Linked DNA regions of Caenorhabditis elegans. The protein of the gene in region 2 purifies or fractionates together with the protein of the main gene of each other region. This does not show direct contact. Each region holds a gene or a part of one and is shown on either strand. Other genes may lie near its edges.

Region 1 (7,923 bases), on a different chromosome or scaffold from region 2:
AGTCTTCTAGTCATTTTTAATGGGTTTTCCTGTTTTTTTAAATAAATTATAAATAAAGAAAAAGCCCGGAAATACTATAAAAAAGTCCTAAAAACCCCCAAAAAAATCAATAAATTCCCCAATTTGTTTTGCAGGTAAAAGTAGTGTGGGACGACAAGCAAGTCTACGACGCGTACTTCCGTGGAAAAGGACAGATGATCGAGTACACGGTCCGACTGGAAGATGGCCGAGAAGTCCGCCATCCACGGAACAGGCTGAAAACGAAGCGAGAACTGAACGCGTATCTCAAAAAATAGCTTTAATAAATAAATAAATATTCGATTTTTTAAAATTTACTATTAAATAGTCCCTGACAAAAAATTCTTGTCAAAATGTAATATATTCTCTCTTTCCCGCCCGTCTACCCTCAAATATGTGATCTCTGCGCCTCTTTTCCCCCCAGTTTTTTTTTGTACGAAAAGTCGAAGAATCTCTAATTATCCCTGTTTTTCTGTTTTTTTTCTGTATTTTTTTGTCATTTAAATATTTTTCGCTATTTTTCCCTATTATTTTGCAGAAACTTTTAAATGTTTTCCCCGAAATTGATCAATTTATCTAATAAACCTTTTTTTTTCCAAATGCCAACACACTAATCGCATTCTTATCAAATAATTCCGTCGAAAAATCAGAAAAATTGGCCAAAGATCACTTTATCCGATTTGTTGACTTCCTGTGAACACGTGTTGAGCTGACAGCTGCGTTGGGAGTGGGAAAATATTGAAAATAACCGGAAAACTCGTTCAAAATCCAGAAATTCTCTTTAAAAAACTGTTTTTTAATGAAAAAACCTTTCAAAATCCAGAAATTCTCTTTTCAAAGCTGTTTTTTAATGAAAAAACCTTTCAAAATCCAGAAATTCTCTTTAAAAAGCTATTTTTAATGAAAAAACAGTTCAAAATCCAGAAATTCTCTTTAAAAAGCTATTTTTTAATGAAAAAACCTTTCAAAATTCGAATTGGCGCCGGTGAATTGACACGGCAACTGCGTACTTTGCGGCCAATGCGCCACATTTGACGACAATTTTTCTTTATTTTTTTCATTGATTTTCGTTATTTTCTTGAGTTTTTGTCGGTTTTCGAGAGGAAAAATAAACTAATTTCTTTATTTTTTGTGGAAAATTCAAAAAATCGCATTAAAATATCTGTTTCTTCCAATTAAAACCCCAAAGATCACGGCTAATTCGATGACAAGGCCACCTTGATCGAAAAATATCGCTATAAACAAGAAAAAAACACGGGAAAACATCATTTTTCTCGCTTTTTCTCCCTCTTCCCTCCTCTCACCGCATACTTGCTCCCCCAAGCACTCATTTCGCCGCCACTCGAAGGAAAAACGATTTTCCATCTTACTTTTTGAAATAAAAATTCATTTTTTCAAGAAAAGAGTTCCGCCCGTGTTTTTGTTTTCTTTTTCTCCCTGCGTCTCTCCGCTGAGTGCAGATCTCTCGCACATAGTTTATCCCGAAAGAATACGTGGATCGATAGACGACGGGCGCCCCCATTTGTGGCTTCTCAGGCAATTGTCTCTCCAGTTTCACCGCGAGTTTTCCCGAATTTTCAGGTTTTCCATAATTTTTTCTGAATAAAAATTGATAAAATGCACTCATTTTTCTTATCAATTGTCACCGTTTTTATTTCACGTGTTTCAAAAAAAAAAGTTTTTATCGAAATTTTACATTTTTCCGTCTCATTTCAGAATCAATTCTCATTTGCTCTTGGGTTTCACAACCGTGCGGGAATCACGAAAAATGCTGAGCCGTCTTTCGCCTGCCAGGTAGGGAGGATTTTGCGTTGAAATTAGCTGAAATTCGAGAAATGTATTAAAAATGACTAAAAATTCAGATTTTCCCGGAAAAATCCATTTAAAACGGCTGAAATTCTGCTTTTCTCGGAAAAAATTTATGAAAAATGGGTGAAATTCAGATGGTCTCGGCAAAAATGCGTAAAATATCGATTTTTCTGCGAGAAATTGCAGAAATTGAAATTTTTACAGGTTTTCGTTGAAAAAGTCTACGAATTTTGACGAGTATTTAAAAAATTTGTAGATTTTTTCGATAAAAACCTATGAAAATTTCAATTTCTGCGATTTTTCTGCGATTTTGCCCAATTTTTCTTGGAAAATCTGAGTTTTAATCATTTTAAATTTATTTTTTCTAAAAAAATCTGAACTTCAGCCATTTTAAATGGTTTTCTCCGGGAAAATCTGCATTTCAGCCATTTTACTAGATTTTTTTCCGAAAAAGTCTGTATTTCTGGCATTTTGAATGAATTTTTGACATTTTTTATGGTTTTATTCCAGAAAAATCTGATTTTTAGCCGCAGTTGGTGGATTTTTCCGAAAAAATCTGAATTTCAGCCAATTTTTAATGGATTTTTTCCGGGAAAATCTAAAATTTCAACATTTTTAAAATGAATTTTCCGCCATTTTTTATGCATTTTTTCCTGGAAAATCTGATTTTAAGCCATTTGTAATCAATTTTTTTTCGGAAAAATCTGAGTTTTAGTCATTATAAATAGTTTTTTTTCTGGAAAAACAGATTTTTCGCTATTTTTAATGTATTTTTCCGGGAAAAAGTCTCAATTTGAGCCGTTTGAATGAGTTTTTCCAGGAGAAATCTGAATTTTCGCTATTTTCAATGGATTTTTTTTTGGAAAAAACTGAATTACAGCCGTTTTTAAGGGATTTTTTCCGAGAAAATCCGATTTTTAGCCATTTTTCATGAATTTTTTTCGGAGAAAATCTGAATTTCAGCCGTTTTTAATTGATTTTTCTGGGAAAGCTTGATTTTTAGCCATTTTTTATATTTAAAAAATTTGAGTTTCAGCCATTTCAAATACATTTTTTCCGTGAAAATCTACTGTTTTAGTCATTAAAAAAAATTTTTTCCAAAAAATCCGATTTTCAGCCTTTTAAATGGATTTTTCCGGGAAAATCTGAATATTTAGTCATTTTTTATGGATTTTTTTCCGGAAAATTTGAAATTTAGCCGTTTTAATGGCATTTTCCCAGAAAAATCTGAGTTTCAGCCATTTCGAATACATTTTTCCGTGAAAATCTACTTTTTAGCCATTTTAAATAGTTTTTTTTCTGGAAAATCTGAATTTTAACGATTTTAAATAAATTTTTTCCATGAAAATCTGAATTTTTAGCCATTATTTATGGATTTTTTTTTCCGAAAAATTTGAATTTCGGTCATTTTAAATGGGTTTCTCCGGGAAAATCTGAATTTTTGCCATTTTTTTCAATGAAAAACCAAAAATCCCCAAATTTCCAGCATCCGCCGTCTCTCCACATCAACACGATGCCTGAGCGACAAAAACGAGCCGGATCTCTCCGATCCCAAAACTCTGGCCCTTCACAAGCTCTACCGCCCGGAACGCACCACACCCCAGAAGCGAGGAATCGACCTGCTCAAGTCGCCCGGGCTCAATAAGGGAATGGCTTTTTCCCTCCACGAACGTCAATATCTCGGAGTTCACGGGCTTCTGCCACCCGCATTTATGACCGAAGAGCAACAAGCCTACCGTATCATCACAAAACTCCGCCAGCAACCTGACAACCTTGCCAAGTACATTCAATTGGACTCGTTGCAGGATCGTAACGAGAAGCTCTACTACCGAGTGCTCTGCGATAATGTGAAGGAGCTCATGCCAATTGTGTACACTCCTACCGTAGGACAAGCCTGTCAGCATTTCGGATTCATCTACCGTAACCCAAAGGGTCTCTACATTACTATTAATGATAATAGTATTAGTAAAATCCATCAGATTCTTGCAAATTGGCCGACAGAGAACGTCCGAGCAATTGTGATCACTGACGGAGAGCGGATCCTCGGCCTCGGCGACCTGGGAACCTATGGAATCGGAATTCCCGTTGGAAAACTTGCACTCTACGTTGCGCTCGCAGGGATTCGCCCGGAATGGTGTCTCCCGGTGATTCTCGACGTGGGAACTGATAACAGCGAGCTGCTCAACGATCCATTCTACACGGGGCTCCGTAGAAAGCGTGTTAGAGGTCCCGAATACGATACGCTCGTCGATAATTTTATGAAGGCGGCCACGAAGCGGTTCGGACGGGATACGCTGATTCAATTTGAAGATTTTGGAAATCAGAATGCGTATCGGTTGTTGGATCGGTATAAGGGAGAATATTGCATGTTTAATGATGATATTCAAGGTAGAATTTGGCAGGGGGGAAATTGAGGAAAAAAAGCGAAAAAATCGGAGAAAAAGGCTTTAAAATGCACATTTGAGAAAAAAAATTGCATTTTGGCCGAAATTTTTCAAAAAAAATCTGAATTTTCACTGTTTTCAAATATGAAATTCAGAATCAGCATACTTTTATTGCCCTGTGCGCCAATTTTCAGCTCATTTAGACGAAGAAATCTCGTAGAATCTGGTGTCTGGTACGCAAACACCGAAGCGCTGCGTACTTTCGGGGCTACAGTAACCCGGATATTTTCAAAATTGAGCTAGTAACTCGAAAAAAAAAGTACAGCCCGGGGTGAAGTTTCACGGGAAACTCGAATTTTGGAGTTTCAAAAAAATAGTGAAGCAAATTTGAGGGGATATATTCCTTTATAACTTTATATTTTAACTGCAAAATTCCGCCGTAAAAGTTTTCCGTAAAATTTCTTTACCCCTAGCCATGTAATTATTTTGGAGTCTCTAGCTCAATTTTGAAAATTTCCGGGTTACTGTAGCCTCAGAAGTACGCAGAGCTTCGGTGTTTGCGTACTTGGCACCGGATTCTACGATATTTCGTTTAAATGAGCTGAAAATTGTTAATTAAAGTATGCTGATTCTGAATTTCGGGTTGAAAATGTCGGAAAATTTCGGGAAATTTCGGATTTTTCTGGAAATTTCAATTTTTTAAAGAGAAATTTTGCTTCTTTTTTTTTTTGGGAAATTTTAATTTTTTGAAAATTTCGATTTTTTTGACCTTGAACTTGGAAATAAAAGTGAAAAATTGATTCTAAAAATAATAGTTTCCCAGGAAATTTGGATTTTTTCAATATAAAATAGGAAACAAAAAAAAAAGGTCTTTAAAAAATAGTTTTAAAAATTAAAAATTAAAAGTTCTTTTGTTTTCAGATTTCAGATTTGAAATTTTTGATTAAAAAAAAAAATTAAAAAATAGTTAGAAATAAATTTTGTAAAAAAAATTTTTTTGCAAATTTCCAGGTACCGCCGCTGTCGTCGTCGCCGGCCTGCTCGCCTCAACTCGTATCACCAAGAAGAAGCTCTCCCAGGAACGGATCGTCTTCCTCGGAGCCGGTGGAGCCGCCACCGGAGTCGCCGAAATGTGTGTCCGACAGATGATGGACGAGGGATTGTCGGAGGAAGAAGCTTGCGGTCGGATTTATATGGTTGATATTGAAGGACTCATCACGACGTCTCGTAGTAAATCTCTTGGCGAGAGACATGTGAAATTCGCTAAAGATCTTCCGGATACCAAGAATCTGCTGGAAGTTGTGAAGACTGTCAAGCCTGGAGCACTCATCGGAGCATCTACGGTGGCTGGAGCATTTACGGAGGATATTATTAAGGAAATGGCTCGGCTGAACCCGAGGCCAATCATTTTTGCACTGTCCAACCCTACAAGTAAAGCAGAATGCACTGCGGAGACGGCTTATCGCTGCACAAATGTACGGGATATGTAAATTTAGAGAAAAAACTGGAAAAATATGGAGAAAATCTGAATTTTTCAGATTTTTTGAGCTGAATTTACTGCATTTTTCATGGAAAAGTGAATTTTTAAATTCAAAAATTCGCCGTTTTTCAGATTTTTCCAATGAAAAGTTAGTTAAAAATTATTATTTTCCAGCTTTTTCATGGAAAAAAAATCAAAAATTTTTAAATCCAAATGTATAATTTTCCGGACTTTTTGTGTTAAAAATTAACCGTTTTTTTTTCAGATTTTCCATGAAAAAATGTTTTTTTTTTCAAATAAAAAACTTAAAAAATCTCAATTTTTACAATTTAGAGCCATTTTTCAATGAAAAACCTGAAAAATAGTAATTTTAAAGTCGCTTTTCAAAGAGAAATCTGGAAATCTGAAAATTTAAATTTTAAAATCTAAAATATATATCAATTTTTAGAATTTAGAGCGGTTTTAAATGAAAAATCTGGGAAAAAAGTAATTTTTAAATAGTAATAAAAATAATAACGAAAATTGGAAAAAAAAACTGGAAAAATATGGAGAAAATCTGCACTTTTTTAGTTGAGAAATGTAGAATTTGCCAATTTTCGCTTGATTTTTCATGGAAAAATTATTTTGAAATTCAAAAATTGACCGTTTTTTTTCAGATTTACCTTTTAAAAAGTGACTTTATAAATCAAAAATTAACCTTTTTTAATTGAAAATTAATATTTTCCACGGCAAAGAGAATATTTTAAATTTATTTTTCTTTAAAAAATCTGGAAAATGCCAATTTTAATTAAAAAAAAATCATTTTAAAATAATGTTTTAGTTTTTAATTTATTGAAGTCAATTTTATAATTTAAAGTTGCGTCGTTTTTTCAGATTTTTTACGGAAAAATGATTTTAAATTGAATTAAATTTTGTTTTTTAACAGAAAAATCTTTAAAAAGGTACAATTTCTTCCAATTGTAAGTTAATTTTTTCGAAGAAAATTGTGGAAAATGTCAATTTTAAAATTTATTCTTTTTAGATTTTTAGTTGAAAAAATGATTTTAGAATTTAATAAAAATTTATATTTTTCAGCTCTTTCGTGGAAAAATGATTTTAAATGGAATTAAAATTAATTTTCTATGGAAAAATTTGGAAAAATGTCAATTTTTAATCTTAAAAATCATTTTTCAATGAAAAATCTGAAAAATCAGTTATTTTTCCCTCCAAAAATACCCAATTTTTGCAGGGAGCCGTCCTCTTCGCCTCCGGATCCCCGTTCGAAAATGTCGAAATGAATGGAAAACTCTATAAGCCAGGACAGGGAAACAACGCCTACATCTTCCCGGGTGTTGCTCTCGGAGCCGTCCTCTTCCGTACCAAAAACATTCCGGACAAGCTGTTCCTTCTGGCCGCCCGTATGGTCGCCGAAGCCGTATCGGAGAAGTCGTTGAACACGTATTCACGTGTATATCCACGTCTGAAGGATATTCGAGAACTTTCGGTGAAAATTGCCGTAGAAGTTGGCGAGTATTGTTATCGACACGATTTGGCCACTTTGCACCCGAAACCCGATGATATGGTGCGGTTGTTTTTGAGTGGAAATTTGAAAAAAAAAAACGTCGGAAAATTTCGATTTTCCTGCAATTTTTAGACATTTTTTGCTGAAAAAAACATGAAAAACTGTTGAAAAATACCAAAAAAAAAAACTTTTCCCCGAAAAAAAGTGATTTTCCTCACTTTTTAATGCAAAAAATGGCCATGTGTCGATTTACGCGAATCGTGTACTCCTCGGAGAGAAAAGCAATTTTTTGAGTGGAAATTTGGAAAAAATCGGGAAAATTTCGATTTTCCTAGCATTTCAAGCTGAAAAAACATGAAAAATGGATGAAAAACATTTTTAAAAATGACAAAAAAAGACTTTTCCCCACCCGAAAAAATTGATTTTCCTCACTTTTTAATGCAAAAAATGGCCGTGTACCGATTTACGCGAGTCGTGTACTCCTCGAGGAAAAGAATAATTTTTCATGGAAAAAAGCATTTTTAGCTGAAAAACATGAAAAAATTTTGAAAAATACCTTCAAAAATGATTTTTAGACAATTTTATGCCTAAAATTGAAAAATTCTACTTATTTCTGACGATTTTTCCGAAAAAAACTGCTGAAAATATAATTTTTCACATTTTTTTTCGAATGCAAAAATATGACCGTGTGTCGATTTACGCGGTTCGTGTACTCCCCGAGGAGAATTTCC
Region 2 (4,322 bases):
TTACAAAACTCAAACCATTGAGGAATATTCATTACAATTACAGCAGCTGCTCCAAAACCAAGACGGCTACGTGCATCATCGACAACTGGATCACCAGTCAGAACTGCCATGTTTGTTCCGGCTGCTGGTTTTGGTTTGCACATTAATCCAACACACAAGCACTGGAAAACATTTTTGATTTTCTATATTTAAATTTCATTTGAAGGTGGAATTGTTGAATTACTGTCAATAGATATGTGTAGGGGTGTAGAAGTAAAGTGCAAAACAATTACACTGAAAACGATCTTTAAATAGGATCACACCACTTGTTGGCTTCGGTTAAATTTTCTACTATTCTTTGGATTTTTTCACACTTTGTTTAATACCTCACTAATGTATAACTGGGCACTGATGTCCACCTTTAGAGATCAAAAATAGATTACCACTAGAAGCTCGGCAATGATTCCCACTGTGCACAAAAGGTAGGTAAAAAACAGTGCAGAAGCAGGAAGTGGGTTCCATTGGGATGCGATGAAATGATATGAACCAGAGAGTATAGCAGCAAAGAAGAGCACAGCAAAGTAAGATGTCCTGGAAAATATCGGAGGCATCAACTATTCATTTAACAAAAAATGTTATTCAAGATTTTTGCTGTGTCATTCTAACCATTTTCTTACCATGAATCACAAGGATTAAAGTTTTGTCTTTTCCTTGCAATTACAATCAACGCCGAGAGAAAAATCACAGATCCAATGGATGTAGTGAGGACTGCTGTAGTGTAAAACCAGTTGAAGAACATCAGAAAAACCATGTACCACCATCCATAAGCTCCAAGCATGATACTGTAGATAGCCAGTGCAATCTTGAACAGAGATGACAGTCCAAGTGGAATGTAGACAATAGTCAGAAAGACCTTCGTGATATCACGCTTCATTTTCAAAGAAAGCAGAAAGAAAACTGCGATGATTGAAACTTCAATTGCGGAGAGTCCAGCTCCAATTGGTCCTCCGTAAAATGCTTTCTTTGTGTAGAGTTCATCAGGAAAATCACAGCTTATCTTCACTTTTTTCTTCACAGTTGTTGAATTACAAAAAAGAGTGGTAAGTAAAGGAAGACCCGGGACTGGGTCCATGTCCGTCGACATGGTTACACGATCTTTATATCACTTCAATAGTTGGGATTTTATTGAAGCTGAGATTGAGAATAAGAAATGTGGCGAGTTGAGTGGCTAGATTGAACAGGTGAAATGCCATGTTGCTATGGTTACTCGTCACGAAGTTTCAGCTGTTCTTGGACGCAGATCTTGTGATATTGAAATTGGTTGTTGATGTAAAAAAAATTAAGACGGAGACACTAACGAAGCTAGCCAAAACAAACTTTTTACGGAAGGTTGAGCTTAATGTTAAGTGGGACATATACGTTTGATGGTACCTGAAACTACCAGGAAAGTATGATATTTTGCAAGTCTTTGAACTTTTGGGATCATTTTTGCTCTTGAACTCATCCTCTAATATATATCATAAGCAGCAAAAACAAAGTACTCGATTTTGCTGCTTATGATATACTATTTTTTGAAACGAGCGTTTTAAAGAAAATTGTGTACATTGTTTCGGTGCTCAATAGTTTCATTGTTACATACTTTGCAAAATGAAAGGGTTTTCCCTGTCGATCTCGAAATAGAAACCATTATGACGATCATCAATACACAATTGGACGCAGATTGTTAGAGGAATGGCATTGATAACAAAAATAGTCACAATATAAAAGTTGATCGTGTTGGGTAGAATGGGGTAGATACTACACATTTTCTGATATTCATATCATCTGACGAAACAATGCCCGCCAATTACGATTTCACTGACAAACGTATACTTGTCACAGGAGCAAGTCAAGGTAAGTCTTGAGATGTTGAAAAAGTTAAGATGGGTTGTTTCAATACAAACCAAATACACTTGTTTTGGGTTCCATTTAACAAATATGAAATTGAGATAGCTCACTACAGGAAATAGACTTGATATTTAGACAGAAAGTTATGTTGAGATAAGTTTTTGTACCACTCGGAGTTGGTGCCAACTTATTGCCCAACTTTTGACCTATAGTTGAAAACTTCACGGAAAACGTCAAATCTCTTTTCCGACGATTGTTCTATGTTTTGAGTTTAGATATGTTTGCAAGGTTTGAATTGAAGTTGACCAGGTTTTCCCTGGTCTAGTATAAGTTTATTTGTAGTTTGAAGTAAGGAAATGTTAAAAATTATCTGCTCAATTAAAAAAAACCATTAAACATTTGGAGCCACTGAATCAGTTTTCTGAAATCTCATGAAGATTTGTACTTTTTAAGTTTTCAAAATGTTTAATCCATATTAATTTAACATTTCAAATTTAGGCCAATGTGATAAAAGACCGATGGTCTCTCTGATTACTTCCGGTGTAATTATGATCTAGTTCAAATGGAGAGGAAAACGTTGATATACGATAATATGATAACACTATAATCTTTAATCAAAAATTTGTTGTATCATCAACATTTTATCATTCCGTTTGAAAATTATAATTATTTTACGATTATGTTTGAGGAAATTTCTGGCATTGAAAACAAGAGTACATCCTTCCTAGTCGGTAAAAAATATATTACGCGAACAAAGCTAAAAATAGAATAAAAATCGTTCATGAAGACTTCCGATGGGGTGATTGTGAATCATACATCACAATTTATCACATTTGCAGGAATTGGAAAAGAAATCTGCCTTTCGTTGGCCAAAGCTGGAGCGCAGGTTATTGCATTCGCGAGAAATGAAGCAAATTTGTTGAGTCTTGTCAAAGAGACTACTTCTTTGGTAAGTGAAAATATAAAATATTACACCAATCTGATTAAATTAATATTTCAGAGATATACAATAATTCCAATTGTTGGAGATGTGAGTGCCAATGAAGAGGTCCTTTTCAAACTTATCGTACCACATTTCCCAATTCATGGTCTTGTAAATAATGCTGGAATTGCAACAAATCATGCAATTGGACAAATTACTCAACAATCAATTGATAGAACATTTGCAGTCAACGTAAGGGGACCTATTCTCATTGCACAATTAGTTGCTAGAAACTTTGTGGATAGACAAATCAAAGGATCAATTGTTAATATTTCATCACAAGCAGCCATTCGTCCATTGGATAATCACACTGTTTATTGTTAGTTTAAAACTTTACTGAAATAATGTACATCTGAAAGTTCAGGTGCATCAAAAGCTGCTCTTGATATGGTCACAAGATGTCTTGCAAATGAATTGGGATCCCAGAATATTCGAGTTAATAGTGTCAATCCAACTGTTGTGATGACTGATATGGGAAGAGATGTAATAATTTTCAAATTGAAAAGAGAGCATAATTAGACTTTTTAGAACTGGAGTGATCCTGATAAGAAGAAGAAGATGCTCGACAGAATGCCGATCAAACGTTTTGCTGAGGTTGACGAAGTTGTGAATGCTGTCCTTTTCCTTCTTTCAGACAATGCTTCAATGACTACTGGATCCACTTTGCCTGTCGATGGAGGATTTTCGAATAACTAAAGTTTTTAATTTTAAGATTGAGACGATGTATATAGGTGAACAATAAATACATTTATTTACAAGAAGCTCGTAATTTAACATACATAGAAAAAAGATAAATAATATTTACTATTGTTTTGAATCTTTTCTGAACAACTTTTCAAATAATCCCTTTTTCTTCGGTGAGCTCGAGTTGCTCGGTGTTGACGCCTTGTTTGATTCCGAAGTTTGAGGAGGCAGATCTTCTGAATTTTCGGCTTCGTGAAGAATCTTTTTGAAAGTCTCTTCGTCTAAGGACTTCTCGTCTTCATCTTCATCTTCATCTACAGATAATTTTTCGTTTCTTCGATCCCAAAATCCACCAATTTCTTTCGTGATCTTATCATTCCATTGAATAGCGTCAAGAGACTTCTGACGAGCTGAAATTGTAGCAAAATTAAGAAATTAAGCTGGCAGTAAAAAGGTTTGTAAAAGACTGTGTTGAAGAAATATTCAAATTTTCGTTTTAAACTTACTAGATTTCATGAGAGTTCTGAGTTCAGCGGCATCATGTTCTTCTTGCTTCTTGGTTTCAGCTACACGTTGTTCTGCGTCTTGAAGAATACTGGAATACTATTGAATATGCGTAAAACTTTAAAAGTCTACAGCAGGGTTAGTACTTTTTTGGGGTTTGTTTATTTTTGTAATATTTCGACGAAAATTTGTTTTTTTTTTTGGTTTTTGTGACAAAACACCAAAAAACTAATTTTCTATATTTTAAACACTTTTCATATTTTACAAATGTTCTTTAGCAAACTGT

What was found.
Region 1: the proteins of dhs-21 (region 2) and men-1 fractionate together in Caenorhabditis elegans (co-fractionation; one large-scale study listed by BioGRID). This does not show direct contact.

The regions. Positions count from the first base shown.
Region 1 is NC_003280.10:14,227,667-14,235,589, reverse strand, and holds the start of men-1 (Malic enzyme), read left to right. Parts: upstream 1-1,734; 5' UTR 1,735-1,786; coding exon 1,787-1,812; intron 1,813-3,313; coding exon 3,314-4,215; intron 4,216-5,222; coding exon 5,223-5,686; intron 5,687-6,919; coding exon 6,920-7,252; intron 7,253-7,923. Other genes in the region: jmjd-2 (Lysine-specific demethylase 4), read left to right, coding at 135-296.
Region 2 is NC_003283.11:12,731,054-12,735,375, reverse strand, and holds dhs-21 (L-xylulose reductase), read left to right. Parts: upstream 1-1,730; 5' UTR 1,731-1,814; coding exon 1,815-1,872; intron 1,873-2,705; coding exon 2,706-2,815; intron 2,816-2,866; coding exon 2,867-3,167; intron 3,168-3,212; coding exon 3,213-3,331; intron 3,332-3,376; coding exon 3,377-3,544; 3' UTR 3,545-3,609; downstream 3,610-4,322. Other genes in the region: xbx-9 (XK-related protein), read right to left, coding at 5-161, 423-570, 657-1,123; zfyv-19 (FYVE-type domain-containing protein), read right to left, coding at 3,653-3,942, 4,039-4,127. UniProt on the Caenorhabditis elegans protein: Catalyzes the NADPH-dependent reduction of L-xylulose, D-xylulose, L-(+) erythrulose, D-erythrose, D-threose, L-ribulose, 1,4-dibromo-2,3-butanedione and 2,3-heptanedione.